Linked DNA regions of Neodiprion lecontei. The protein of the gene in region 4 purifies or fractionates together with the protein of the main gene of each other region. This does not show direct contact. Links are inferred from orthologs where the notes say so. Each region holds a gene or a part of one and is shown on either strand. Other genes may lie near its edges. The genes, in order: cell division cycle protein 27 homolog, anaphase-promoting complex subunit 7, anaphase-promoting complex subunit 2 and anaphase-promoting complex subunit 15.

The links.
Region 1: the proteins of anaphase-promoting complex subunit 15 (region 4) and cell division cycle protein 27 homolog purify together in Homo sapiens (affinity purification with mass spectrometry; 3 studies listed by BioGRID and IntAct, with this or other methods). This does not show direct contact. The link is inferred for Neodiprion lecontei from reciprocal best matches to the Homo sapiens genes ANAPC15 and CDC27.
Region 2: the proteins of anaphase-promoting complex subunit 15 (region 4) and anaphase-promoting complex subunit 7 purify together in Homo sapiens (affinity purification with mass spectrometry; 3 studies listed by BioGRID and IntAct, with this or other methods). This does not show direct contact. The link is inferred for Neodiprion lecontei from reciprocal best matches to the Homo sapiens genes ANAPC15 and ANAPC7.
Region 3: the proteins of anaphase-promoting complex subunit 15 (region 4) and anaphase-promoting complex subunit 2 purify together in Homo sapiens (affinity purification with mass spectrometry; 4 studies listed by BioGRID and IntAct, with this or other methods). This does not show direct contact. The link is inferred for Neodiprion lecontei from reciprocal best matches to the Homo sapiens genes ANAPC15 and ANAPC2.

Annotation. Positions count from the first base shown.
Region 1 is NC_060266.1:21,418,714-21,427,616, reverse strand, and holds cell division cycle protein 27 homolog, read right to left. Parts: upstream 6,455-8,903; 5' UTR 6,341-6,454; coding exon of another isoform or gene 6,319-6,340; coding exon 6,295-6,318; intron 5,983-6,294; coding exon 5,907-5,982; intron 5,629-5,906; coding exon 5,481-5,628; intron 5,285-5,480; coding exon 4,907-5,284; intron 4,819-4,906; coding exon 4,509-4,818; intron 4,418-4,508; coding exon 4,229-4,417; intron 4,109-4,228; coding exon 3,865-4,108; intron 3,761-3,864; coding exon 3,580-3,760; intron 3,445-3,579; coding exon 3,219-3,444; intron 3,060-3,218; coding exon 2,932-3,059; intron 2,755-2,931; coding exon 2,433-2,754; intron 2,331-2,432; coding exon 2,186-2,330; intron 2,099-2,185; coding exon 1,980-2,098; 3' UTR 1,800-1,979; downstream 1-1,799. Other genes in the region: type 1 phosphatidylinositol 4,5-bisphosphate 4-phosphatase, read left to right, coding at 6,913-6,997, 7,142-7,326, 7,818-8,027, 8,171-8,311. UniProt on the Homo sapiens protein: Component of the anaphase promoting complex/cyclosome (APC/C), a cell cycle-regulated E3 ubiquitin ligase that controls progression through mitosis and the G1 phase of the cell cycle.
Region 2 is NC_060262.1:35,032,197-35,039,173, forward strand, and holds anaphase-promoting complex subunit 7, read left to right. Parts: upstream 1-2,694; 5' UTR 2,695-2,768; coding exon 2,769-2,837; intron 2,838-2,966; coding exon 2,967-3,293; intron 3,294-3,369; coding exon 3,370-3,779; intron 3,780-3,860; coding exon 3,861-4,275; intron 4,276-4,365; coding exon 4,366-4,640; intron 4,641-4,727; coding exon 4,728-4,950; 3' UTR 4,951-5,492; downstream 5,493-6,977. Other genes in the region: coiled-coil domain-containing protein 174, read right to left, coding at 5,826-6,977. UniProt on the Homo sapiens protein: Component of the anaphase promoting complex/cyclosome (APC/C), a cell cycle-regulated E3 ubiquitin ligase that controls progression through mitosis and the G1 phase of the cell cycle.
Region 3 is NC_060261.1:6,128,453-6,136,323, forward strand, and holds anaphase-promoting complex subunit 2, read right to left. Parts: upstream 5,570-7,871; 5' UTR 5,549-5,569; coding exon 5,447-5,548; intron 5,132-5,446; coding exon 4,693-5,131; intron 4,472-4,692; exon of another isoform or gene 4,429-4,471; intron 4,299-4,428; coding exon 4,060-4,298; intron 3,966-4,059; coding exon 3,785-3,965; intron 3,698-3,784; coding exon 3,472-3,697; intron 3,382-3,471; coding exon 3,197-3,381; intron 3,112-3,196; coding exon 2,566-3,111; intron 2,490-2,565; coding exon 2,050-2,489; 3' UTR 1,883-2,049; downstream 1-1,882. Other genes in the region: uncharacterized protein LOC107222521, read right to left, coding at 157-395, 489-613, 727-873, 958-1,084, 1,296-1,352; uncharacterized protein LOC107222515, read left to right, coding at 5,727-5,742, 6,692-6,921, 7,002-7,140, 7,587-7,822. UniProt on the Homo sapiens protein: Together with the RING-H2 protein ANAPC11, constitutes the catalytic component of the anaphase promoting complex/cyclosome (APC/C), a cell cycle-regulated E3 ubiquitin ligase that controls progression through mitosis and the G1 phase of the cell cycle.
Region 4 is NC_060263.1:15,453,121-15,458,599, reverse strand, and holds anaphase-promoting complex subunit 15, read right to left. Parts: upstream 2,591-5,479; 5' UTR 2,305-2,590; coding exon 2,179-2,304; intron 2,093-2,178; coding exon 2,033-2,092; intron 1,911-2,032; coding exon 1,680-1,910; 3' UTR 1,589-1,679; downstream 1-1,588. UniProt on the Homo sapiens protein: Component of the anaphase promoting complex/cyclosome (APC/C), a cell cycle-regulated E3 ubiquitin ligase that controls progression through mitosis and the G1 phase of the cell cycle.

The DNA.
Region 1 (8,903 bases), on a different chromosome or scaffold from region 4:
TTCCCGATTAAACTTAGAGACTCTATTGTGTATCAGTATTTTAAATGCAATTGTGAAATAATGAATGTCAAAATAATGAACGGTAAAACTGACATGTTCAAATTCAAATTTACACAATGCTCATGTCACGCAAGGGCTTATACACATAGTAGACTCACAACTCATCCATCTACCTTCGCACGACCTGCTTTAAGGTATAGAATCATAGATTGAACATGGCTTAATTTTCGTATTAATCTACTGAAAGTACAGTACATAAGCCCCCGATTCGGTAGGATACTTCACGACATAAAATTATGTACAAGTTCATGTCGTGGTTAATGGGTATTTTAATATTTATACTATTAATATATAATTATCTTGCACAAGTTACATACTTTATAACAAACGGTACGAGATATATGTCAATTTATCACGCAACATGCACGTTTACTCGACTCATTTACAAGTCACGATGCACCGCATCGTGGCTCAGTGTACAGCACTAAACGTGCCAACTTCTCGAATTTAATGATTATTACCATTAAAATCTAATTAATTTTATTTAATATAATAATAATGATGTATTCTCGATTCGACTCAAGGGAATACGTATTGTACGACAACTACCGACAGTTTCTGCTGCGTTTAATTACTTTCTACATATATAAATATCGTTCATTATTTTTATATCCATCTAATTTTTAAGCGGCTTAGGTATGTAGCTGCCAATCATAATTATTTTTATTATTATTATATTATTCTTCACAGAATAGAGTATTGGAGCTTACTACGCGCATATCGATATATGTATGCATACTGATCGGCATTTTCATCTTTTGAATTGAATAATATAGACTACATAGAAGTTGACGCTTAGTACACATTATTACATTACTTATAAAATGTTATAAATATAGTTATTATCAGTATTCTAGCGATAGAGATTTGGAACAGCCTGCGGCAACTGGTGGTGGTAAAAGTCGCTTTCATCTTACCCGATAACTAACGAAAACATTAAAAACAGGTGTTTATCGGTATTATATTGCACTCTCTAATATTTCCTGGACACTGATTGAATCACTCGGGAGTTATTATGTGCTCATACGCATAGAAACAGGTCCAAACCCAAAACGTTATATTTACTGGCGTGACGAAGCGAGAAGTAAGGAGCAGCTTTCGATAATATTTTTACATGGGAAAAAAGTATAGTGACGTAACTTTTTTATCCCTTGATTACACTGTTAACCGAACGTATCTTCAGCTGATAATAATAATAATTGATAAATTCATACGACGTCTTACACTGGAATCACACAATATACTTATAATCTATTCGACAATAATGTACATAGATACATGATAGAAGCCTAATCATATTTTCAATTGCGGAGAGAAGCGAATTAATGAGAAAAAATAATCATCAGGCAGAAATACACCTAGGGCACTTCGGCCGTGGTTTACTGCGGAAATCATGATTATATTTGTTGTATATTTTTGCTTGATCATAGAAACTGAGAATATAAAAGTGAAAGCATCTCATGTACAATAGTTGAAATGTTATTTTTTGAATTTCAGCAAAAGTAGTTGTTATGTACAATTTTCTTGAAGAATAATACGGACTTTATCAGCCGCGGTATTACAAATGTGACGAATAGCATTGTTGGATAGTAGTAAATAGAAAATCCATGTGCTAAAAATTGTGTAAGAATTACTGTACGGAATCTTCTTGTATCTTCAACAATCTTAGTTATCGCGCGCGATGCGTAGAAAAATGAGAATGGTAAATATTGTCAAGGAAAAATAATAAGTCACGTAAGTTATAAACTAATATTTCATTCCATTATTTCAGATTAAGTTTTTCCTCGTTTTCTATAGCTGTCTATTCCAAATGGGCACTTGCGCACTAGCTATTACATTATTAGGTGAGGGCTGTTTATAACAAAGTATACAGGTATTTTGGCCAGCAGTAACGGTAGCGGTACGCCAGATCAAGACACTCATAAGCTGTTATCACTATCGTCGATCTGAGGGTCAATCGTAACATTTGCTGATTGATCAACTTCCCCGCTTGCCTCTCCCTCTTGTTCCGTCGAACTGTTTTGTGCCTGTCTTTCAGCTGAAAATAGATGAACCCGGAATTTTATATGACATCCAGCAAGTGCAGCCTTCAACCAATTTTGGGAATTATTCTGATTCATCTCACCTAATTGTGTAGTAGGGTCATCGTCACCTTGGCCAGGACTCAGTATGGCCTCTTTTATTTGACTGTTGACACCTTTGGGATCTAAATCTGTGGCCCAACTAAAGTACATAAGCGCGAGGTGCGTATTTCCTAACTGTTTATGCACCTGTTGCAAGGAAATAAGATTTTTCGAATGTAAAAAAAAGCAAGTGAAAATCAGCCCAATATTTTTAGAAATTAAAAATGAGTACTAGTGAATATATTTTACCTTTCCTATCGAATAGTAGACTAGAGATTCTTTGGGTACAATATTCTTCAGTTCTTCAAACTCTTTTAATGCTTCAGCAGGTCGACCTGTAGAGAAATTAATGCTTGCTCGATGAAATTTGCAAAGCGTGTTGTCAGGGTCGTTTTGGATCGCCTGATTCAATGTTTTCAATGCAAGATCAGTCTTTTTCAAAGCATGTTGTACAACCCCTATGTGACACATGATTGCCGAATTTTGTGGATTAATCTGCAACGCCCGTTTAAAATGTAGTTCGGCTAAACTGTACTGCTCCTGTTTAGAGAATATCGTTCCAAGTCCAAACCTGATGATAAAAATTTCAAATCCAATTAACTGTGTATTCAATAATAAGTTGTTCTACAAAACAACCAACGTTTATAATTCCATTGTGAGAATATAAATATAGAGGTGAGAAAAATTCCAGTGGGAGAAATTTCAACAAAAACGGTATCGTATCGCTAAGGATTAACGAGGAACTTACCACGCGTTATAATGCCTCGGGTCAAGTCGAATAGCATTTCTAAATGCTGTGATTGCTTTGTCTAATTCTTCTGTCATAACATATTCGTGACCCAGAAGTGTGTACGCGTATGGGAAGTTGGGATCTACCTATAATCGAAAATAAAATATGTGTTAAGCTATTGTCTAAACTATTCTATGTAAAGAGTGCTAAAAATAAAAAAAAAAACGGAATCGAATAGCAAAGGACCGTTCTTTTTTCTGCTTCTCCTCGGAGACAGCGAAAGACTGGAAGATTGGACGCAATACCTGTATGGCTCTTTGAAAGAACTTAATCGCTGTTTCATGTTCTGTTTGGGCCGAAAATAGGTTTCCAGTAGCACACCAAGCTGTTGGAGAATATCGGTCTTCCGAGACGAGCTCCTGTGCCAGGGTGGACAACTGAACTTCGGCATGAAGATGCCATAGTACAGTACTATAAATTTCCATCATCTCTGTTCTCTGCGGCTCCAGTTGTCTAACTTGTGCGAAATAACTACAGCAGAAAAGCATCAAAAGTTACATTAGCTATTTTTTACATTTGATGAGGAAGCAAATTCGGTTCTGTTTATTGAATGACAGTTTTTTTTTTTTCGAAATTTTGTTCAACGTAACAAGAAATTTGCTGTACCTCGCAGCTTTTTTGTAATCTATCATCTCGAAGTGCGCTTTTGCAAGCATCGAGAGGACCCAGCCTGTATTATAATGCTGCGCAGGTAAAACACTGAATAGTTCAATAGCTTGTGAACAATTGAATTGACTCAAATGTTGATACGCTGTGCCCAGGACCCTCAACAGTGTCATAAGTCCCTCTAAAAAATAAACGTTTGAACTGATTGATGACGTGAAATTTAATTACGAGAAACAATATTTTATAAGAAAGTTTGCCAAACATGTAATTGGGTACTTGACTCACCGGCGCACTGTTTTTGAACGAGTAAAGCGCAGTGCATCATGTTATTTTGGTTTAGTGTGTTAGTGGACGATATCACTCTGTCCGAAGTGATCGTTTCACTTTTTTCCTTTTCATTTCTATTTCTCTCATTCAGTTCGTTGAAGTTTGCCTTATTTAAATTAGTCTTTGATAGTCTTGCTTTGGGTTTCCGAGAGGGTGATTTTGGTGGGGCGAATTTATTCCTATTTGGCGATTTATTATTCTCCTATAAAAAATTTGAAAAAAAGAATTAATCAAAGTACAAATTGAGGATCACAGATTTTCAGAGAATTATTTGAGATTCTAAAACCGAATCTAATGCGTTCAATCAATTCATCAGAAATACCTTGACAGAATAACTGTTACTAAAAAGTCTGGAAGATCGCCTAACGTTGGGTCCCTGAAGAGCTTGTGGAGTCGGGACTGGAGCCGTTGGTGTGACCGTAACAATGTTTGCTGTATTACTCGTGTTTCCAGATTGAGAAAACACTGGTTTACCTTGCTGCAAAGGCGTTTCTTTCCGAGACATTAGTTGCTGCAGAATTTAATAAATAATTACCTTTAGATCGATACATGAGGAAAAAAAACAAAAAAACTGAACCACTTATTTGCCAAACTTCACTCACTCCGACATGCGCTTTTAAACTGCTGACTCGCTTGGCCAAACTTTTCTGATCGTTTGCTTCGGAGAGCGTTGCATGAGGCGGTCCAATTTGTTCCGGTGTATTAGTTTCCAATGGGAGAATTCCAAAGCTCGGTGTCAAAGGGCTCATGGAGTTACTAAACATGCTACGATAGCGAGGCATTTTTCCCCTAGGCGATGCCGCAGAACAATTTAGTATTTGGGATGGAAAACCTGCTGGACTTTCATCAGACGTAGCGAACAACTTTACACCAGAATTAATACCATTCCCGACATTATTCTGGGCAGGAGTGCTGCCAAAGAGTAAGAAACTTTACGTTAGTCAGAATCTCAGGTGCAGATGTGTAAAAAATCATTACATCACACGAAAGTTCAACTCACATGTTATTAGGAATTGGTGTGACTGGGTTATTTGCAACCGGAGTAATGAGATCTGGTTCATTGGCATAATTAAGTATCGGGGTAGTACCGTGGCAAGTGGCAAAACTGTCTAGTTTGTCAAGTTGGAAAGTCTTGGCAGGATCAACCTTTTCCCCAACGTTACAGAGTTCCTCAAAAGAGTGCCACAAGAATGGGTTCAACTTTAATGCTAATTTATGCGCCTCACTTCCCTTCGCTGTTCGCATCATTCTATAATAAATCTTGGCTATTATCTGTAACGAGAAGCAAGCCTGGTCTCCAAACTGTGTCACTATCTCATCTAAATTCTTCAACTGCTTATAGTATCCACCGATTATCGCTGCTTCGGCCTCCGCATATCTACATGATAGAAAAAACAAAGATTGATCTTATACATTCTCCAAGTACAGAATCATGCAATTTCCAGCTGTGGATCTAAAGGTTTGAAGATCAAGGTCCCATGATTTCACGGTACAAAGTTTCTGGACAATTCAATACACAACAGTGGATAATAATTTGCTACAAACTAAGTAAAACGGGGTTTAAGATTACTAACTTCTCCAGGTCATAGCAGCACTTTGCTAAGAGAAATCTGCACTGTGAAGAACTCGGCGCCTTTTTGGTGAGCAGAGCGTGAGCCTGTCTAACACGTCCTGAACGGTAATAACACGTTGCCAATAAAAATAATGCATCTTCTGTGTCGACTAGAATGGAAGGCTAGCGTCAGTATTTTATAAAGTAGTAACTACTTAGGGAAGCAATTCATTTCATTGAAACTGTATTGACTGAAAATTTTGAATATATAGATATAATAGTTTCTGAACCACTGTATACATTAAATAGATAAAATAGATTTCTTTTTGTATGAGGTAAAAATTAATTAGCACAAGGCTTTATGACTTTGGCAAAGACTATTTAGGTGACATTGAAAAGTTAACGATTTCAAACGGTGAATATATTTGGATGGTTATGTATTACTTACGTTCGGCCCACAGTCTTTCCGCCAAGAATATTGCATCTCGATAAGCATAGTGATTTAAACAGTGCCATATGGCAGCCTAAAAAGCGTTATAAATCGTGTAAACAATTGATATTCTCGTATGTTTTGTTGATTGATAAACGGAAGGAGTAAGACATGCAGATCTCAAGGCAAACTAACTAATTTCTATAAGATTATTACTTTGACGAGAACAAAGTGTCGCTGCGTTATCCTGCAGTCACGATATCTGCAAACGTTGACGCTTCATTTTGAAAAAATAAATCTAAGAAGTAATAAAGTCGTGCGTGCCACTGGGATGTCAAAATTACAACCAAAGAAATAATCGTTGAAACACGTTGGACACCGTATATTAATTAAATGATAATTTTACCTGCACTGGTTCCTGTACAATCATCGTTTACACCTTTACCACGCATATAAATATGAATTTCAATTGATTCGTTTCAATTTGAAATCTGAAAATTGTGCACTTCCTCGGCAAATTCGTATAAAAATTTCTCAAGACTCCATATTTGCTTTTGCCAGCTTTCTTGGACTCATCTGAAGTTGCCTCTATATCGCAGTGCCTGTCACCCGATCCAATGCTTCAAACAGTCCAAAAGTCACTAGTAGCCGATAAAAATCTCTATATCTCTAAGAAGGAAGATACCGCGCCTATACCGGGTAATTTTGAATACCTCGAAATACGCTATAATTTCGTGCAAAAACCATGAATCTTTTTAAACATCATTCACACTTGGATTGATTTCTGTTCAATATCAACGAAATGGCCGAACGATAAAGCCGTACTTGAACCTAAATTAGCCGGTCAAAAATACAGCGATGTGAAGATAGATGCCAGCTGATTAATGAGCAAGCCGGTTGCCACTCTACGTGTCGTATCAAGTCCCAGTTGTCAATAGGGGAAGAGGTAATATTTGTCATCGGAGTTCTGTCAGTGGATCGAGCTTGGTGATTCTCGAAGAATAGATAATAAAAACTTTCCATAATGGGCGATGGAAAACAGGGCGAACGCCAGCCCTTGTTAAAAAATGACAATATATCCTACACCAGTGTTTCGACGGATATAACAGGTTCGTATTAATGCGTTACACATAGCAGTCGCATTATTTAGTCAAGTTGAACCTCTCAACTCAGAAGAACAAAGTCTGTAATATCGAACTATAAATTACTAGTTTTCTACCTTCACTCTTCTTTTCAATCTCTGTATCTGATAGCTGCCGCTGAATCCACAGTCAATACAGTATGTCCGATCGGTCCAGACGAGTTACCGCCACCCTACCAGTCCACTCAGCAGGGTGGAATCCCTATGGTCACATGCAGAGTTTGCCAAGCTATGATAGACATATCCGGCAAGCGGGATCAACATGTTGTTAAATGCTGCCAGTGTAACGAAGCTACAGTCAGTTTTACCACATTTTATTACTATTTCCACTATTTTTTTTTATCAACATCGGTTTACTAATATTATTTAGCACCTTTCGACGAACGTAAAAGACTTCGTTTCCATATTAAATTAATAATGCCTCACCACATAGAATGTTGCATATCGAGAAAAACTATTTCATATTGTGAGATTAAGGACTTCAAATCCTTACAGAGTAAACAGTCACTTATGTCCATAGAAATATCAAATGGTATTAAAAAATATTTTGTATATTCTTACAGTCATTTCAAATTCTAAACGATAAGACATCAGTCTTTTTTGCAAGCTTGCAAAATCTAATTCTAACAAGGAACGATTCAATTCAACTCGGCGAATGTACAATTATTTTCAACAATTTGTTTGAACTTATTTCAAGTATCTAAAATCTTGAGTATTACCAGTATTCGATCCTTTACTTTAGGATACGATACTAATATGATAGTCACGATTGATGACGTTCCTTTCAGCCGATAAGAAATGCTCCACCAGGAAAGAAGTACGTCCGTTGTCCTTGCAACTGCTTACTTATATGCAAGAGTTCTTCACAGCGAATTGCTTGTCCAAGACCAAATTGCAAGCGCATAATAAATTTAGCGCCTTCGCCAGTAACTCCGCCCGTTCTCTCTATGCCTGGAATGTGTAGAGTTGGATGCGGACATTGCCATGACACGTTTCTGGTAGGTCACTGGATGCATCATAAGACACAAATGCATCCAGTGTAACTCGTTGAAACTAAATATAATCGAGTTTTTGAGTCTGAATGTATTTAGTGCTTAACATAAATTATTATCGGCTAATTAAAAATTGTTGTGTATTACAGTTTAACACTTTAAATAACGCTCTTGCTCGATGCCCGCATTGTCGCAAAGTATCATCCGTAGGACCAGAGTTTGCACGAGGTCGTGGAATCGCATTTATTTTAATCGGATGTGTGGCTCTAGTCGTGGGAATTGCTGTTACAGTAAGTACACACAGTCATACACGTATCTGTAGATACGTAGATATAGGTGAAATAATGTTCCGTAAAATAATTAACTTTAAACGTTAATTCTATCACAGAATTTTACTTACCCTGTTCCACTTGATACCAAGTTTTCATTCTCAGTGGAGTTGTTCATTAAATACTGCAACTGTGACTCATTGTTCCCAAGTGTGTAATCGCATCGATAAACCGCCATACTCTTCTTCTTTTTACATCACTTATTGTATATCCTATCTAATCTTAACGACCTAATGCAAATTACTGTTTACAGTTTAATGATATTTAATTATATAATATTCCGTTTCTGGTGTACATAAAACGTACACACAATTTGAAGATATTGGAAAATTCCAAGTACATAATGAAGAACCAAGACTGCCTATACAATGTTCGATTGATATTCAATAACAAGGCTTACACAACTACATAATTCTCAACTATAATTCTACCAACTTCTTACACCACACATAATAATTCACCTGTTAATAATTGGGAGACGCTTTAACTCGAGCAATTTTATCCTATTCTGCAAGTGTTTTGAAATTGTTTAAATTTTACATCTTCTCTTATT
Region 2 (6,977 bases), on a different chromosome or scaffold from region 4:
ACATGACTGCAATAATCTGACGAAGACCAGCTAACAATTTTAATTGTACTTCTAGTAAAATGATGTGTATAAAGAAGCGGCGAGAAATACACGCGTGGTTCGCAAGGCCGATGACCGGCAGACGGAGACTCAAATCAAATCAATATACCGCGGTCAACGCGCTGTTGATAATAAATATTACAAAGCGTTACAGCTTTGCTGGATATTAATCCAACAGCTTTTATACGCAATGCCCTACCTTTCTTTGGTGGCGATGTTTCCCCACTACGTTTTGCCTTGTTTGGTGAAAAGCTTTTTCCACTCCTTCCACCCATCTTCCGTCGCAGATATTATTTATTGTGTTTTACTGCGTTTATTTTTGTTGTTTGCCGGCGTCCGGCTATGACATGCGCTAGAAAAGTACAGTGTATGTGTTAGCTATGGTTATTTCAAATATATTCACATATAAATAAATAGGATACCGCGGAGATATGATGATTTACGGAATGGAAATTATTATCATTGTATCGTACGTAAGTTTCTGTATATTAGTCGGTTTAGCTTGTTTATGGCATACAACCAGGACGGAAGCGAATTTTTACGTTATCTTGTTATTATACATTTTTTTTTCTAATCAACTATACATCGTTGTTGCTGTGAAACGGTTTTGTGGTAAATTTACAGTCTATTTAATAATATGTTTTCCGGAAGCTAGATCTCCACCACATCCGTATTACATACGCATGTTGCAATATTTAGACGGTGTATGAGAGATGTGAGACAAGAAAAGATGTCAATCTTGCACCGACAACGCCCAAAAGTCTACCTTGCTTCTTAAGAAAGCTAATTTACGTCAGACACACTCATACTATGTTCCAGTTAATCTTGGCACCTTTTCAAATGAACGTGAAAAAATGTTATTCAACCCGCATATGTGAGCATTCGACCGCTTAAAAGGCCCAATTGTTATGTTACAGTGTTCTTTGCAATACGTGAAAAGTAGAAATTTTTCGTTTTCTTATCACTCGAAACGTGTCCTTCATCTATTAATTCAATATCGGAATAATTTCGAAAGATATTCAGAGGTCAGAGCTTTTCCCGTGAAAGTATTCGTGGTATTCGTATATTATATTATTATTATGGCAAGGTGATCAGCTTGATCTACATCGGCGTGATTCTGATATAATCCTTTATTTACAAATGACATTCGCAACGATACTGGAAATTCGGTTTACTTGCCATGGAATAATATATTCTATTGAATATTTTATTGGCCGAATAACAAAAGAAAAAAAAAACAAATACATACACTTATATCCATTAGTCGTTCGATATAATTATATCACGATTTATGTATGCACATATTCCAACTTACTTTCCCTATGGTTTTCGTTTACTTGAGACACGAAGTGACGCATGCGGTGTTGATAATTTTCAATTTATAAGATTATAGCGGATTTTAGTAAGAGAATAACACTTCGTATTTATTCGAGACTCGAACATAATCCGGAGGAGCTTTATGTAAAAAGTAATTAAGCCCACCTGTTACACCGCTCGTTGCCTGCGGTAGACTGAAACTATGCCAAATCTCGGCTTCCTTGAAAGTGAAAGGATAACGCACTACGTGTCCTTGATTGTGCTGTGAAATTCATGGCATCCACTCTGCACACCAATCACCGTACTATTTTTTATCGCCATCTAGGTATGGGAAAGACATCTCATTATGACCCAATAAGCCATATATCGCGACATACAAATATCATGCACATAGGATTGCGATAAGATTGGAGTCTTTTTTTTTTTTCTATCACAATTTTCATTATGGTTTGAAAAATGCCGCGTGCGGATTACCGATACACGATTCAATTACTATTATTTACAAGTGGTAAGATATTTTATTTGATTCCATTCGTCCGTTGCAGTAAAATTGTAAATTGTTTGGTACGCTATACTTTGTAATGTACGTATTTTTTAAAAATTACCCGAGGTGCAACGACTCATCGTACATGAAAATTAACGCTTATCTAATCAGTAATGATATACGGATATATGAATGATATGCTGCGGGGATCTATGTTCACATTGTTCACCTATGTCTGTCTGATTGTGAGAACACCTGATTCAGTCTGTATCAGCGATGTCATCTGCTATAGATACATATGTATATAATATCTGATTTCGGCAGTTGCGCAAAATATGTATAACATTCCCGTATATTCAGCGTACGCAATAAACCATATTATTAAAATAATACTACCGGATGTGAAAACTTGAGTTATAGTTTAAGTACAGTATGTGACCCGTCGCAGAGTAATTTCTTATGGATCGAGCAGGAATGTAGGGCAATGTTACTCGTGAAGGTCACGATATAAAAGTTTTATCGATCATTACAGAGCGTACAATAAACTTGTAAATAATCTATAGCCCAACGAGTTTAGCCGCACAGTATTTAGGTTTTATGTAAAAAGATGTGACATATTTTATATACTAACTGCTGGATGTGCTTTTATTGTTTTTGTCAACAGCCAACGTCATAAGTTTGTAAGAAGTTTTGATGAACGATATTAACGGCGTTTATTGCATTTCCAACATTAAAATGCTAGAATCAAGCTAGAATTAGATTTGTCGAAGAAACCAGCCATTCAAATCTCGCGCTAGTCAACAGATGTCGCCAATGTTTGACGGGTGCTTTAGGCGTGCATAAGTATATGAATTTGTAAATGTGGGTGGGTGAATAAGAGGACACAAGCCGTCCGCTGTCAAAGTAGTATTTATATAGATCTGTAAAAATGTCGAGTTTATACGAGCAGATAAAAATGTTGTACGATCAAGAGCTGTATTCAAATGTGATCGCTCTAGTGAGTACGAGCTGTGACTTAATGTTGATTTGTTGAAACTAACCTATAATGCAGAAAATTGATGGCGAGAAAGAATTTGCCAGTGTAAGAGAAATGCATGAGGATAACGTTCAGCTCTTCTATTTCTAGGCAAATTTCATTTTATCGCTAAGCGATCACAACAGCGAGCTTCTTCCACCGCAGGCAAAATTCTTAACGTATGTCCATTGTGCTGATTCGTACTTTCATCTTTCCAAGTACCGGAAGGCTGAATCGCTGTACAAGAAGTCCTTGCAGTTTCGTAAATGCCTTTTGAAATCTAAAGGTGCTACTAAACCGCCGCCTGATGGACAGAAAGAACTCATGTCGGACATAGACATTAAATATCAAATACATTTGTGCTTGGTCAAGCTCAAAAATACCCAAGAAGCCTTACAAGTTCTTCAGGGAATACCTGGCAAGCAAAGATCCGCAAAAGTAAGAACTTCTTCATCCTTGAAAGTAGAAAACTTTTTTGCCATCTATTATTTATGTTCGGAAAATAAATTTTTAGGTGAATATGGCTCTGGCAAAAATGTTCCAAGAACAAGGAATGGAAAGATCAGCAATTACGACATACAAGGAAGTTTTACGAGAATGTCCATTGGCTCTTAACGCAGTGGAAGGACTCCTTGCTCTGGGTGTAAAAGGGATCGAAGTAAATTCCATGATTGTTAACTCTATAACCAATTCACCAAGTCTGGAGTGGTTGAACATCTGGATCAAAGGACACGCACATATTCACAATCGTGAATACAGTCATGCAATCACAGCATTCAGGTCACTCGATAATGCCAATTACTTTAGAGACAATGTTACCTTGTTAATAACAATGGGTGAATGTTACTATTTTGCTGGTGACGATAAAAATGCCTTGACGTGTTTGCGACGGGCCAGAACTATAGAACCTGATTTGACGAAAGGGTTTGTAAAAATTCGTTTCTGGATTCAAATGATATGTGTTCAATGATAAGCCTGATCTGTTTTATTTTGTTACTTTTTTAGCCTTGACATATATGCCGCTGTGTTGTACAAGACGCAAAACACCAAGGAGCTTGAGAAATTAATCCCAGCTATAACACAGACTTCCGAATACACAGCTGAACAGTATATAGCTATGGCTTATGCTTTGTACGCTGCGCGAAAATTCAGTAGAGCAAGTACCCTGATTGTACAAGCGATAAACCTGAGCCCCTATAGTATCGAAGCAATTATATTATGGGGAAATATTCTTATCGACCAAAAAAAATATCAAGAGGCATTGCACCATTTTAGGAAAGCTGCTCTACTCAAACCACATAGATACGAACCACACAAAGGACTCGTTGATTGTTATGTTGGAATGCATAGACTTAGGGAAGCATTGAATATCGCCAGTACAGGTTGTAAATTACTGGGACACACGCCTCGGGCTCTGACGGTACGCCATTAGTAAAATACTAAACTGTATGTTTAAACAACAGTTTTTGAGATTTGACACGATGACTTATGTAAAAATATTATGTTGCAGCTTTATTCGTCGGTTTTGATGAAGGACCCTGTATCAGTTGGCAAAGCGAAAAACTTGTTGGAAAAAGCATTGAGTCAAGAAGAGTCATTTTTGCCGGCTGTTTATTTGTTGGCTGAAATATACGAACAGGAGATGAACTTAGAAGCTGCTATTGAATTACTTGAGAGACAAGTAGAAATATTACCTACCTCTAAATTTCATCAGATGCTTGGCGATTTGTGGGCTAGAATTCACAATCAAGAAAAAGCATTGGATCATTACGCCATCGCCTTGAAGTAGGGATGCAGTTTTAGTTTCACAGTGTGCTGATATTTTTATCTGTACTGTTACTAACCAATTCATTTTATCCCATTTGTTTACAGTTTAGATCCATGTAATCGACGGGCTCTGGAAGGGCTGCATCGGTTAGACAGTACTTCAACGAAACTGGAATCGACTTATTATATGACTGTAGGTGACGAACATGCAGATACAACTTATGATGTTGGAGATGGTTTGCCAGATACAGACAATGACGAGGGAGCTGACGAAAGTGAAACAGAAGCAGTTTGGTCTGACATGGATCTGGAAGCGAATAGTCAATAGGGTAACTTACAACCAGAGTGATTGAAAGTAGTTTGTAACTGAAAATAATGAGCATTTCTCATTTTTGCGGCAATGATTTTCCTCTGATATTATATAACAATGAAATTATGAGTTCTTTATCAGAGAAATTGTCATCCCGCATCACAGTACTCCTCGGAAATTTTTGTTCCATACTTCTGCAAAGACTGTTGAATTTCAACTGTGACTGACGATATTCTTTAAATCATAATAATGCGTGCATTTTTTGTAAATGTACGAAACTGTTTATGGAGTAGACAAAATGACGAGTTCCTTTCTCCTATATGTAGTACAATTGACAAATGAGTACTTCGATCATGCAAGAAAGAATTACGCAATTCTGGGAAGCACCATGTTTCTCTATGTTTATGTTCTAATGAGAACGCATCAATCATGTTTATAGAAAGAGAAATTCTTACTTTATTAGCTAATTTTTCGATGTTGTTTTCTTAGTACAGAATAAGCAAAAAATTTATTCAGTTTTGTGTGTACCACAAATAAGAATAAATTAAAAAATATGAGTACGTAGTTTGGTTACCATATAGAATTTCTGTCTCCCATTGAAAACATTTTAATAACCAAAGTCTACTCGTAAAGAACTAGTAATGTAGGTAATTGAGTAAGAAGTACAAAAAATAGAATCGTTAATTATGTATTTCCCACACAGTATGCCTAATGAAACTTTCATAACAAAATTATTTCAGATCTTTCGTATAAATAAGTAACAATTTTACAAGTAAATAATAATTAATGAAGAAAGTGTGCATCGAAAAAATATTTACAACTATGTCATTCGACATAAAACATGTCTATTATCTAAAATTAGTTGACTTGATATTCTTAAATATTTTAGTCGATCAGCTGTGCTTTTGCTTTTCAAAATTTGCTCGTAAATATTTAAGCCCAGCAGTAATCTTGTCTTCGTTTAAGATATGCTGTGGTTCTTGACTATCAATATTATCCGACATGCTGGTGTCAGCTGATCGTTTACTTGAATCCACGCCAGTTATTGAGCTCAACAATGTAGAATCCGGTAGATGATATTCCATAGGTAAACAATCGCGATTCGGGGGTGGGACTGAAGTTGGTACCAGTTCTGGACCAGTATTAAAAATATCTGAAGTAAGGCCAAATTGCATATTTGGAGGTGGTTTCGAAAAATCAATGCCTGATAATTCTGTTCTCATATTTTCTGGCAGGGTAGCGAATGTTTGTTGAAAATTCACATGCTGTGTGGGTAATTCGGTATATAGTGGCATCGGTCCGATTACATCTGAACCACTACTATCCGATGATTCTGTGTCAGCATTGCTAATCACTTGCTTAGGCATGGTAATCTGTGATAACTCTGTAGAAGTCTCAGAATGCGGAATATGACTTTGTTGATTATCCGTGCCATCGAGTTGATCGGCCGTTTTCTTTGTGCCACATTCTTCGATAATAGCAGGACTTTCGGAGGTTTCCTCATTTTTACCAGATAAGCTATCATCGAGCGATGCTGAGCTTTCATCCTTGTCCTGATCGGTATTCTTGGATTCTAAATACCCGGAACTTCTAAAATTATTGTATAAGGGGGCAAATTCTTCATCTCTATCTTTTCTCCGCTTGTAGACCCATTCTTCTTGCGACATCTCATACCACTGTGTTCTTTTACCAAGCAGTTCGCCAAAAGCTTTTATCTTGTTCTCAATTTCGATAAGTGAATTTTCTTTCCTATATTCAATTATTTTCCTCTCATCAGATTCGACTTTCTCTTCAGTTTCTGCTTTAACTTCCATCTTGTCTGTATTCACCTCATCATTTTTCACGAGTTCCTCGTCCGTGGGCTCAGGGGGCAGTCCAGCCCTTATTCTCTGTCGTATTCTAGCCGCCTTTAGCCTGTTCTGTTCCATTTTGTCTTTCATTTCCTTTAGATTTTGCATTTCCTTTTGTTTTTGTATGGTTTCCTTTCTCAATGCATCCAAGTTTGCTTGCTGCTTCGCTCGCATTTCTTCATCCTGGGAAAATTC
Region 3 (7,871 bases), on a different chromosome or scaffold from region 4:
GTTTTACAAAAGAAAGCATATCAACCATAGTCATGTAGGCTGTTCACTTAAATGTCCATTAATAGTTTTGGATAGTCTTTTCCATTGGTCATATCCAATTGATAGATTAAATATTATATATGTCAGGAATCATAAGGATAAAAAATTGGAAATTACCTTGGCACTTCAATTGGTGCAAAACCATCGATTGGATTTTGGTCAAGAAATCCAGCTCTTTCCAAAAACAGTGGCTTACGATCATCTTTGTGTTTCACAAAGTTGTGCAATGCAACTATAGCGAATATACTGCCAATAAAATTTATTACCCATAAAGCGCCACCTTTCACGCTTAAAATCATCATGGCAAAAGGAACAACAGGCACCAGCGATGTTCCATAGATTTCGGAAGCATTGGACTATAAAAAATTTTAAATTAGTACATTTAGTGTGGATCCTGAACCTTAACACAACATTCGACGTCATTTGAATAAGCATGCAACAATACTTACAATAAGATCGGTGAAATCAAATCCGAAGTAGACAGCTAATACGAGATCCATCGTACAATTTCCAAGTGTTAGTATAATCCAACATGGGAGGAAGTAATGCAGAATTTTTTTTCTGTACACACATCCTACGCAAAATTATAAACTCATGTTCTAAGCTAGGGTCACAATAATTCGGTAACTGGAGTACACAATGCATGTATGTCGCAATTTCGTAAAAAGTTAATATTCCAGTACATACCGCTCATTATCAGTGTACTAAAGATGATCCAGAGTCCAGAAACTCCAACGTAAACTGCCATCCAAATAAACAGCCATTCTGGTGTGACAAGGTTTAAAAAGTAATCGTCTGAAAGTACCGTAGTGTTGTAGACCTGACATTCTGCCCCTGTAATGAGAAATGTTGGTGTTATTATACTTTGCATACTTCAGTGAAGTACCAATGATTTTTAATCAGCAATTGTAGAATTACCTTGAAAGTATAGTCCTACTACAAGCGGTACAAAAGTGCTGAAAGTTTCATCGGAATCCACTGTGATTACACAAAGATGTACCAGAACACCCAATAGAGTGAGTATACAGAGTATCAATCCTTGTACCTAAGCCATAAATTTTTACACATGCACAGAGTTTAATATAAAAGAGTTCAAAAATTGATTAACACATATCGGTACAATAATGTGAAGCACGTTTACGAATCCATTTTTTTCACATCATCTGAAAGTTCGTGCGGTTTAATTTCGTTCATAAGTTTGATAGCGCTTATTGTTTTAGAATATATTATGAAATACAGTATAATTAGACTCTTACCAATCCCAATGTGCCTAAACAAAGGCACAAAGGTCGAACAAGTGACGAGACCGCCATTTGGCAATCGACTCTCTATCTGCTGAATTTGCCTCCTGTTAATTGTAATACGTTTTACGCCTTTTGATATGCGGGAATACTGCAAATATCTAATCAATGCTCAATAAATGATCTCACATCAAGACACCCACCCACTCACACTGACTGACGCTGATATCATGGTATCTGGATTTTTCTGATAAAACTCAGTTATTGTGTTTCAATACGATATTTATCTCTTAGAGGTTTCATACTTTACCTACTGAATTTCATACTACGATTTCATACTACGATTACGAACATCTCTTTATGTGTAGAGTTGCAGCTTGATAAATCAGAAAGTTTGCAGTAAAAAATCAATATTAATGTAATACGACAGCTCATTTAAACTTTGATAACAGTTTACTCCTTACTTTCAACAATAAATTTCCAAAAAATAAGATGATTGTAAAATAGTTATCAAGAATTATTTTTACAATTATTCAATAAGCTTGAATTTTAAGCTGTACGAAAATAAGTAGGAAAAAACTTTGTCAAAAAATTACAATTTACTATTTGTAAGGTATATTTTCTATACAAAAACTAAACCAATAATTATTACACTTTGATGATGATAAAAAAATTGTCATAGTCGAATCAATATGATTTCTTTGGCTTACAAAAGGCCTACAATTATTTTATATTTTTAATTATTTTTCGGTCATCGTAAAGACAATCATTACGATTTAGGCAATTTATATAATCCACCAGAAAATAACAGCTGATGTTCTCTAACTTTTTTGTCCAAGAAATGTCTCAATTCTGGTAAACCACATTCCACAGCACCTGGCCCTTGTGAGGCAAACATTTTCAACATTTGGTGTATTCGCTCCAAGGGCATAGAATCCAAATTCGTCAGCATTCCAACGATGTATGACCAAAATACTTGTAATTCCTCCTCCCTCTGATCACTAGCCGAAGCCATTGCACTTTCTACTTCCTCTTCTTCAACAATTTCAGCTGTCGACCGATTTTTAGTTGCACTTTCTTCTTGTAGTAAAAACTTATCGCTTGAGATCTCTTTCAAAACTCCTTGGGATACCCAGAACGTTATTTTACGACGGAGTACAGTTGCTGGGACGTGCATTGCTTCACTCAGTTCGTCGATCGTCCATTCATCTTGAGATACAAATATTAACATGGTTAATAAGTAATAAGATCTTCACCGTATTTACAAACGTGCTTTAGTACTCACTTTTATTTTGAAAGTGTATAATGATTGTAGCGTGGATAGGTGTGACATTCATGTTCAATTTCCTGTCTTTCAATTCTATTTCCAGGTTTACATTTCCTAAATGAGGCTTCCAGCATAGCGTTCTGTTCCCTTTAAGAGCTTCAAATGCTTTCATGTACTTAGCTAGCTGATCCTGAACAGCTTTTGGCAATTCTAATTTCCACTCTTCCTTGAAAGGCGGCCAAAATTGAGCCGATAGAATGAGCGCAGAGGTAGGGAAAAGGTGTGCTTCGACACAGTAACTGGAATCCGACTGTATATTCCCATCTATCCTTTTTGAGTCGTAAACGTCTTTGAGCATCACTTCACAATAGTGTAATTGATTTTCTCCAAAACGTCTTTTGAGCAATTCCAAATGACGAATTTCTCTTTCAGTATGATAATTTAGCTGTGAAAGTAGTCTATCTGCTAATAAAGTTCTATATTCATTAACGAACAGGTCTTGGCTTCCGTAAACATTAACCAGCATGGAAATTATATCCGATACTCGGCGTTGGGATGATTTGGCTGAAAATTAGGATCACACAAAGATCGGGTTACAAAAATATAAAACTTATGCAGCTTCTCATATTAAAATGCAAACCTAGCTTACAAGGATCTGCATCGACTGGATCTGGCATCCACTTTTCCCAGTCTTCGTCTTCCTCGTCGACTGAACTTTCTTCCAGCTGCAACGATTCGCCCTTCACCAATTCATCAGCTAAGTCGCTAGGGGAATCATCCAACAAACCACTAACCACGCATCTTACCGTGTCTTCTCTACTCCTCAGGTATTGCCTGGTTGTAAGTAAGAGATAAATTTGTTGTAATATACTGGAGATGTGGGTATTTAATCTGACCTGAGAGGGTAATAGAATATTAACTTACTTTACTGGTTGCGTAACAGTTTCCAAAAGAACGCCGGTTGGATCTAACTGTCTCAAAGCTTTTATGGCTGCTATGTACGCCGTTAAAATATCAGGGGTATTTACACCTGGATGTAGTAGCCTTGTTTTCAGAGCATCTTGTAAACTTTCAACCAACGTCTTGCGTAGATCTGTTCGTTCCAAACCAACTCGTAAGTCTTCTATTGCCGGCTGTGACTCAGGGTATTCTAAAATTTCGAAATATATTTACCTGGCTTGGAAATATCACGGTATTTGTGCAAGTAGATACTTAATCACGGTTATTGTTTCCTTACCTATAATGATGTTGAACAGCTGATCAATTCTCGTTCGCGTATATGTTTCGTAAAGGAAATGGGACAATTTGTATTTGAATTTATTAATTGTCTCGCGCGTTTTACTGCTCAAAGAAGGGGATTTTGAAGAGCCTCCAGAATATATTCTTGTTAGCCAGCTCATAACAACTGTTTCGAGCCACTGTGGAATACAAAGTATTGTTATTCTAGGCAATAGTGTTGTTTCGGTGAGCGAGTCGATGTTTCACAAAAATTTCAGACTCTTGTACACTTACGTTTTCCAAAAACGTTAATTGTGATACATCAAAACTGCTCTCACACGCTTTATTGACATGACTCTCAATGCGGATATTTATCAGCGAAGTCAAGACATTTCCAACTAATCGCTCGAGCAGTTCAAGCTCGATTAACTTCCGATTTGTTTCATGAAATATGTATACTATTGCTTGGCACTGACAGTCATCTATTTCCCGATTGCAACCTTTGCAGAGGCTGTGACTACCAATTGAATCATCTGCACGAAAAATAATTCTGTCATTAAGTGGATCCAAGGCGATGAGGAACAAGATAGGTTTACTCTTTTCAGTAGAAAAATTGGGGTGGAATAGATTGGAAGCTGATAAATAGCGCTGAAGCAAAGCGTTTTGAAGAATTTGAATATTGATTGAAACTATCGACTGAATCATTGTACGTTTACAAGTTGCAGACTGGTCTTGTAACTCATTAATACTAATTGGTGTGTAATCTGGAACTTAACACTGACTGATGATCGGAATTTGTTAAAATTAGATTTACTACAGCCAGTTGAATTAGAAATTTTCATACTTGTTATACCAAGTGATCGATTAATAGAGCAGAAATAGTGAAAAGAGCAATTACTTCTTTTTCCCTTAATTCAAACAACTCACCTTGCGGTGAGGTGTCAGTATTACAGAACACATTGAATGCAATTCTATAGAAGTGTTCTATGATTATTTCATGATTCAATGCAAGTTGACTCAATAACGTAGCTTTAACAATAAGTTTAAACTGTCCTAAAATATTGTTTTCCCCATAGAACGATCCATCAGACTCCTTGCTTTGTACAAGTTGTTCTAGTCGTTTTAACATCGGTAGAAACTCTATTAAGCTGGAATACAAGCCGTCAACGGCGTTTTTGAAGCATTCAAATCCATGTTGTTCATTTGTTGTACTGCTAAAATTACTCCAGAAGTCTGGAGCTACGTGTTGACGAATATAGTATTCTATACTTTGTATAACTATTTCCTCAATTCTTCCCAACAGTTTCAAATCATTTATTTGCTTGAGTATATCGGTAAACTGTTCGTCAGAACATTCGCTGAGTACCTGTATAATAATGGAATGACAGGTACGATTACTCTCCGATATGAAGATTTCAAACAAATAATGAGAACCTTGACAAAATTTAAAACTATCTTAATTCGATCCAATAATATATTTGTAATCCTCGTAATTAGCCGTAGATAACGATATTAGATGACAACAGTGTAAATGTTTGAGTTTGAAAATTCATAACGCAGATCGTAAACATAACCTTAACAAAATCGAAAACCGTGCCTAAAGATTGACGACTCTTTGATTAGACTAAATAACTAGTGATGATACACCAACGAAAAATAGAGGGATGAGTAATTGAAATACCTTCTGTCTGAGGATCGGAAAAGCATATTCGATTTTTAAGAGTACGTCCTGCTCAGACGCGGCATTTATTGCCGCCATATCCATATCTGCAGCAATGTTCATACAGTTTGGCAGGTGTTTAGTGATCCTAATGTCAATTCGACGTGCATTTTGTAAACAGCTGTTGCCTACTTCACTCGTGTGTGACCAAGTTTTTATTTCAACAACTTCAGTTTGACCTTATATATTATCTTACGGACATTTTCACGTTCATTTGTTGTGTTTTTCCACACATTCCAATATGGAGTGTCTCGTCGGTAAGTTGTTTCGAATCGAAAAGCATATTATTATAATAAATTTTGATAAAACTGCCTGATTCTTCTGAATTCTACCGAGAATCATTAGTTAAGACACAAGGTTAAATTATGCACCTATAAATGCGGGAAGACTCAACGTCAAGCAGTAATACGCGATGCAATAATAATGTTTACGGTTATTTTGTATTGTAGATAGACGTAATAGGTTATGCGATGTATTTTAACTCTGCTAAGCGGGGAATTCCGTACCGTTAAAAAAAAAAAAAAACAAAAAAACAAAAATGCTATTGTTCGAGTATGAGTATCGGAGGTTTTCTGATTCCGCTTGAACACGGATTGAACCGAGGAATAATATAGGTATAACGTCTCTTTACCATTCAACTGTGTAGATATCTGTTTTTTTCATCGTGATACTGATAGCAGTAACAAGTTTTGTTAAAATTTGAATTCATTTTTGTAGTAAATGCCATTTCATTACTTTAAAATCGTTAAATTTTTAGAGGAAAATTTATTCTCTTATTCCGTTCAGGAGTAATCCAAAAACGTATTCAGAAGGCAAGAAGTTTTATCACCTGTCGAATGTTAGCAATAATCTATGTAAGTTGGTTCAATTTGAATTGTGATCTTTTCATGAATTCGAATCCACTTGCAGAAAAATACATGAACTACAGAATAGTGATAAAAGTGTGCATCGAATATTTCCATAATTCTGTCTTACGTAAACAATTTGCCTTAGAAGAGAAATCGTTTTGTCAATTTAATTTATGATTAATTTCGTAGAACTGTCTCAGGGATAACTTCAGTCAGTGGAGTATGAATTAGTATATAGCACCACACTCGTAATATGAAATATATTTGCATGCCTACAAAAAAATAATGAATTAAGGATTGTTGAATAAAAGAAATTGTACCTTTTAATTCACATACTCATGGTAACTTGAATCTTCAGGCAATACCTCGGAAATGATGTTTCAAACCGCCGACGAAAGTAGCTACAAGTGTGATGAAAACAGGCAGTTGCACTGCCAGGAACTGATTGAGTTGAATGATCAAATTGCTCAAGATAATGTTGCAAGTCACATGAACGACTATGCAATTTTACCCGCAGTTAATTTGTGTCCGATATGGGGAATCAGCAATTTGGAAGTAGTTGAGACTGGGCAAAGTGGATTTGTAGAGGTAAGAATAGGACTGTTTGAAGAAACTTTGAAGTTACGCCGGAACTGTTAAGTCATGTTATTATCCATTTATATTCACAGGTTGGCAACGTTGCAACTAGTTCTGTTCCAACATCTACTGGTAGGCCGAGAAGAAAGCCGAGGCCGTATTCTCCCTCAGATCTGACTACAGGCAGTAAGAAACAGAGGCAGAAGCCCAAAGTAATTCGAGTACAGCGAAGTAAGTGAAAAATATCAAATGGGACAATGTCAGGAGCAGTTTTATTACAGTGTTCTAAGAAAAAATTTATACCATTCTCATGAATTTCTTGAACCTAATCTAATATTTGACTTTCATAAAAGCAACAAGCAACAAAAAAAATGAGGGGATCGTTGGGAAAAAGGAAACTGTAGAAAAATTGACCAAATCAAATAGAAAACTTTTTTGGGATAATATTCAATTTGAACAACGTATTAACTGTATTTATTGACTTGACTTGCCTTGACATTATAAACGGTCAAATTGAATCCGTTAGTTTCGCACTTTTGATTCTACAGAATTGAGACATTAAATTTTGAAGCAGGAAATAAGCATAAAAGAGCTGTCCAGTCCGTTTTCCCTTATAACTAATCAACTTGCATGTAACAGTATTGAATTAATTCGTTCATAACATTCTGATTTTGTAGTCAATTCGTCCAACGATGTTTACATCGACAAGAGAACTGGTCTACCATTTTCTTGCGACAAATGTGAATCACCGCATATTGTCGATCCGACACGATGCAGTCCTGGAAATCGGAAGCGGCCACCAATGCCCAGAAAGTATGTCGATCCCGTTAGTGGCAGGATTATGATGCTATGCAATGCTTGTGGAATTGCAGCCAAGACGAATCGTAAAGATCGACCAGCTAAGGTGATCCATGTACGTAATTAAATACACCAATTGCTTTTGTAACAGGCTTAATTCTGAA
Region 4 (5,479 bases):
AAATTGATAATTGGATGGTCATCGACGGAATGCCGAGTTTCAATTCTTCGTTGCCTGAATTTTCTCACTGTACTGAATGAACGAACGCAGGGATAAACCGCACGAGACATATGACAGAATAGATCATCGAGAGAGGGTTCGCGCTCAGAACTGGTGTTTTTTCATCCATTTCTCCCGTTATTTATTCGTACACGTCAAATATTCTTTTAACTGCATCCTAGGTCGTTTACGATATTAATAGATCTTTACTGCGCCTGTGTACATCGAGCCAACGAGGCCCATAGACCGTGTGGATATATGATTTCGTAAACATCCCTTGCTCGGGGTTTGGGTAATCCTAGAAGTACTCAAGTTCCGCGGATGATTTTCCCCTGCAAGCTCGCGACCCTCGTTCGTATTTACAGTAACAACTGCGGGCTGAAGCTGCTTCGCGGCCCTTCGGAGCATTGGCGGCAGTTTCGAGGCTGATTTTCGGATGAAAAATAAAAACTTCAAAATTTTCACGAAGAGAGCGCGAAGAGAGTTCGGCTTGATCGCGAGATCCGCACGTTCCTTTGAGGAGTCCGTCGGCTGCAGTTGCGTCGGCTTTTCGCTGTGTTAGGCGGTTACTCGCGCCGGTTGTGTCTTGGCGTTCGTTCACCCTGGCGGGGGCACCAACCTGGCTTTAGCTTTACTTCGCTTACTACCTCGCAGAGGTACATGCATACCTCTATATAAACTCCTCTCCATACCTACGTACACTCGGCATACCCAGCCGTACGTTTCTCTACAGGGTGTGCGCCAAAGTATACGATAACGAACGACAATTGTTATACGCGCAAGTGAATTTGCATTGCCTACACACGCGTATACATATATTATACGCGTCGAAATTGATGCACATCGTTTCTTTATCAACGATCGGAACGTTTTACGGGCAACTATAGGTATTACATACCGTCGAAAGTCGAGGAACGATGAAAGCCCGATTATCTTTTACTCGCGGAGAAAGTTTACCACGAGGAAGTTTCCAGCCTCCCCTTCCTCCCACCATCTCGATGCAGCCGTAGGGAATGTGATTGTTTGTGCGAGAAACAGATCAAGATAATAAAAATAAATTGCAGACTATACCTATAAAAGCAGCCGAATCTTTACATACTTTCGCTTGTTTAATTTTTGTAATTTTTTGCCAGCCTCTCTTGTATTCTTAAAGATAAAAGAGATTTTCCTCGGTACTACTAGTTGGCCAGCACTGGGTCAATGGGGTCGTGACCTGCGTCCGTTAGAGCAGCAGTTACGTAATCGGAGGTGCTCGAATAACTGTTTTAACACTCACCATTGTGGTGTTGTGTTGTGCTCTGCTGTTCCGCGGTCAAAACGGCGCTTTTACCCACCGACTCGTCGCAGCCGTTCGCTCGGTATCTATACGTTCGATCTCTGCGGCAAGTTTACAGACTCGTGCATGCGTACGGAATACGGGTGGTATTGTCGAAAACAGCGAAACTCTTACTGTGCCGGTAAAGTAGAGACCTGTAAGAATTTTGGGATAGAATTAGGACAAATTTGAACGAGTCTTTGGAACTATTCAAACTCTAAATGACACAGAAGATGCAACACAAATGTAATTTTATTCTTTCTTACGGTTAATTGTACAGCTAAACGTTTCTTAACATCTTAATTTATTGTCACACAATCAGATTCTAGGTGTAATGGAGGGTGCGCGCGTTGACCATTCTGATGGAAACCGGGTTTTGCTGGGTATCAGGACTGGGCCCAGGACTGGCTCGCGGCTGTTGATGGGAGTAGCTGACTTCCATGTCGATCTCGTCCAGTTCTTCTTCTTCCTCCTCATGGGTGTCGGACTCCTCCTCCTCTTCTCCTTCACCCTCGTCTTCTTCTTCCTCTTCTTCTTCGCCTTCGGATCCACGGAACTAGAACAGAAAACAGTTCAGTTTTGCAGCATTGTCTTCTTTCCTGACTACTAACACCGCAAATGAAAATTTGCGATAAACGTAGTGATTACAAACAGATTATGTTACGTTTAATTACATACATCACTTGCTGACTTTCCAATTGGAATTTGATTCCAGCGTTCGGCCTGTATGCTGTCCATCTAAAAGTAAACACTACATTTTGTAATATGTCCTGCAGATGGTCTAGGCCATGTGACGAGTTTTTATTACATGACAACGTAATTACCCATGATTGATGCTCAGTTTCTAATGCAATAACCTCGCTCTCGTCGTCGCACGGCTTGTCTGCGTCGAACCACAGAGGATCAATAGCTCGGGGTTGTAAATCAGGCCAGAGTGGCATGAATGACATATTTCGAAAACTTGAAGGAACCGTGAACAGGCCAGTCGATCTCCACAACGCGACAGTTACTGATTACGTTTGATATTATAACCTCAAAAAACTGCATGTGAATTTTTTGACGTTTCCTATTGCCGAGCTGTCAACTATCTTCACGACGCTCCACGAACTATTCGGAGACCAGATTAAGCAGTCGAATCGACATACGCAGGCGTTCGAAAACACTCGATTTTACGGAATGAACGAGGCCGCGAACCGCTCGTCGAAGTCGGTCACGGCAGAGATGAGTAGGGAGATCTCCAACGCTCGGCTTTTCGTGATACCAGCTAGGTTGGAACGTCGACGTGACACCTAGGCGGCCACGCACCGAAGGTGGCCGACAATCGTATATATATGATATACTCGGTCGATCGAGCAAGTGGTTGCCAATCGCATCCTTGTCCCCGCTCACACAGATGTTTCCAGGAATGCAAGAATTGGGATTTTTCTTGATTCAATTATGAATGTCAGCGAATAAAAGTATCTCCAGATTTGATAAATTTTGGATTCAATTAGCAGACGCTGAACCAAAATAATTAACCATTCCCAGCCCGGAAACTTTTTTTTTTTTTTTTAATAAATTTTATTTTTTTATTGATATGAAAATATGTGACGCCTGGTGGTCTCGAATATTTGTACACGCAGTCTATGTAAAAATATTACGAAGTCAGCTCGATAGCATTTATGCAAAATGTGCAATACGCAGGTGGTTGGGGGAAATTTTTTTTCTCTCGAACTGAATCTTCCAGAAAATCATCAGCGAATTCCAAGCAAGCTCCGTAAATATTCCGAGCTAACGCGCGATCATGGAAGTAGCTGTAGCGTGGCTGAGTGGATACCACATGAGGATGGAGTGATGCGGGACACGGGTTTGATCGCAGTTCACTTTTCATTTTTTTATTTTATTTTATTTTTCTTAATTTTTTTTTTTTTAATCCAATCCCGGCTTTCTTTTTGTATTTTTGATAACCGAGAAGAGAAAAAAGGAATGAAAAAAAACAATTCTGAGAGTGTGTAGATTTTGTCCATTTTTCTATTTTTTTTTTCGTTTCTTTATTTGGTAACCCGGAGAAGAAAAAATCTACCTAACAAAAAATTGGAGACCGGATCGATTGTATAAAAACTCTCTTTCAGCTGTTTATTAATATTACCTCCATTCAGCCGTTTCCCCACCGAAAATCTTGAATCCAATCATTGTTTAATGAGATCATGCACAGTATTTCAAAACCTGTAGAAAAATCTGATTTTTCGGAAAATATTCAAAAACGGCTGTACAAAAAGATCAGGCGGGTTCCCGAACATTTAAACAAGAAAATAATTATTCAAAATTAGACTTTTTCATGGCAGCAAATGGACCGTGACTTTCGAAAAACAATTGAAGAGGTCGTAAATGCTGGGAAAAAAGTGAAATCACCTACGTATCCGATGAACATTATTCTTGTTATGAATGTTATAAAAATGTTAGACTTCTGTTGTAGTTGTTAGAAATAGAGACTTCCGGTCTCGAGATGAGGTTATGCACTTGACAGCTGACAACTTGACGTTGCCAAATTAACAAGTAAACTAGTCAAAGTTTTACTAATAACCATATTTTTTTTCATGCAACAACTAATGACAATAAACTAATTTATCATTTATATTAATTTTTTAATCTATACAATTTGAGGGGATTATCACATCAATCCGCAACGATAAAAATATACTACACTTGTTCAATATACGCGTGGTCATTTTCTACTTCTGCCGTATCCTCGTCGAATTCGTGTTCGGTGGGATCCGCAGGCATACTCTCTGGCGTATCGAAAGCCCGAGCTACCATCGTGCAGGGTTCTATTAAAGCAACGGCGTCAGGACATTGTACATTTCCTCTGCTGCCGCTGCCGATGTATCCGGTAGAAAGGATGTGTCTCAGAGACAAGCGAACCGTCCGAGCCGTGGGATTTGGGTTGTGACCACCTCGCTGGCGAAATTTCGAGAAGAGGTGTTCGACGGAATCTTGGTTGCATAGTCCGGCTGCCAACTCGAATCGGGGATACTTCTCTTTTATCGTCGGATACGTTAGCAGAATAGCTCGCGAAGTATTTTCAGCCGTCCCCTTTCTCCTTGGGTCAGCAATTGTCCATTCCGAAGACAACTTCACGAACTCTGTAAGCGTTTCCTCGATCTCAGGTTTCTTGTCGGCAAGCGGGCGCTTATCCAGATTTCGGCTCAAAAGCTCGTAGGCATTGCACGAATCGATGACTTTATTCATACGCTCAGCAAAAGCTGCGCTAGCCTGTCACGTTTCCGTGTTGAGCCCGTGCGGATCCTTGCCTGCAATTGTTATTGCCGCTGCAAGTCGGCGGCTCAAAATTTGAAAAGCACGCTCAACGTTCATCGCCTGGAAGGACGATGGAAACAAGTGCGCCTCGGAGATGTGAGAAAGTAGATTCGAGGTAGTACTGCAGTTATCGTATCTCCAAGTTTTTACAAAATCTTTGTAGAAAGCGATAATCTGACCCCTCCAGTACAGTATTTGGTGTGTTCGCAACGTGCTCAAAAGACGTTTTATCAAATGAGGAAAGTCGAATGAAGCAAAGTAGTTTCGTTCACCGCTCATACAGCGCGGACTCTCCTCTGACACTTTTAAACAAGAATTGAACAATTTTTGGTCCGAGGGACCCTGATCACATGTCACGAGGTGAACTACGGCTCCGGCTTCATGCAATCAACGGAGGCATTCATCGACCAAGGTATGAATCTCCTCGGCCTTCATGCCAGTCCCGGGACGAAAATACGCGAGTTGTTGCCGCCATGATTGATTTGCGTTCAAACTGTCGACGCAAAAAACGAAGACGTAGCGCGCGCGTTCATCCCTCCGACCTAGTGGGCCGCGATCAACCAGACCTTCGATGCAATCGAGTTTCTCCGAATATTCTTCAAATTGTTTGATTGTCATCTCGTCCCATTTTAGAGCGCATACCCTATTTTCGATAGGCAACTCTTCAATTTTGACCTTCAACTTCTGGAATATGAAATCGCAGAAGCCGGGGTTTATGTCAACCTCCGAGATCCAATTGCGCACGGTACTTTCCGCCGGAAACATGCATCCTGCATTTCTCAAACGCGTATAAAAAAACTGCTTTGCAAGATCTTTTTGTTCCTCCGA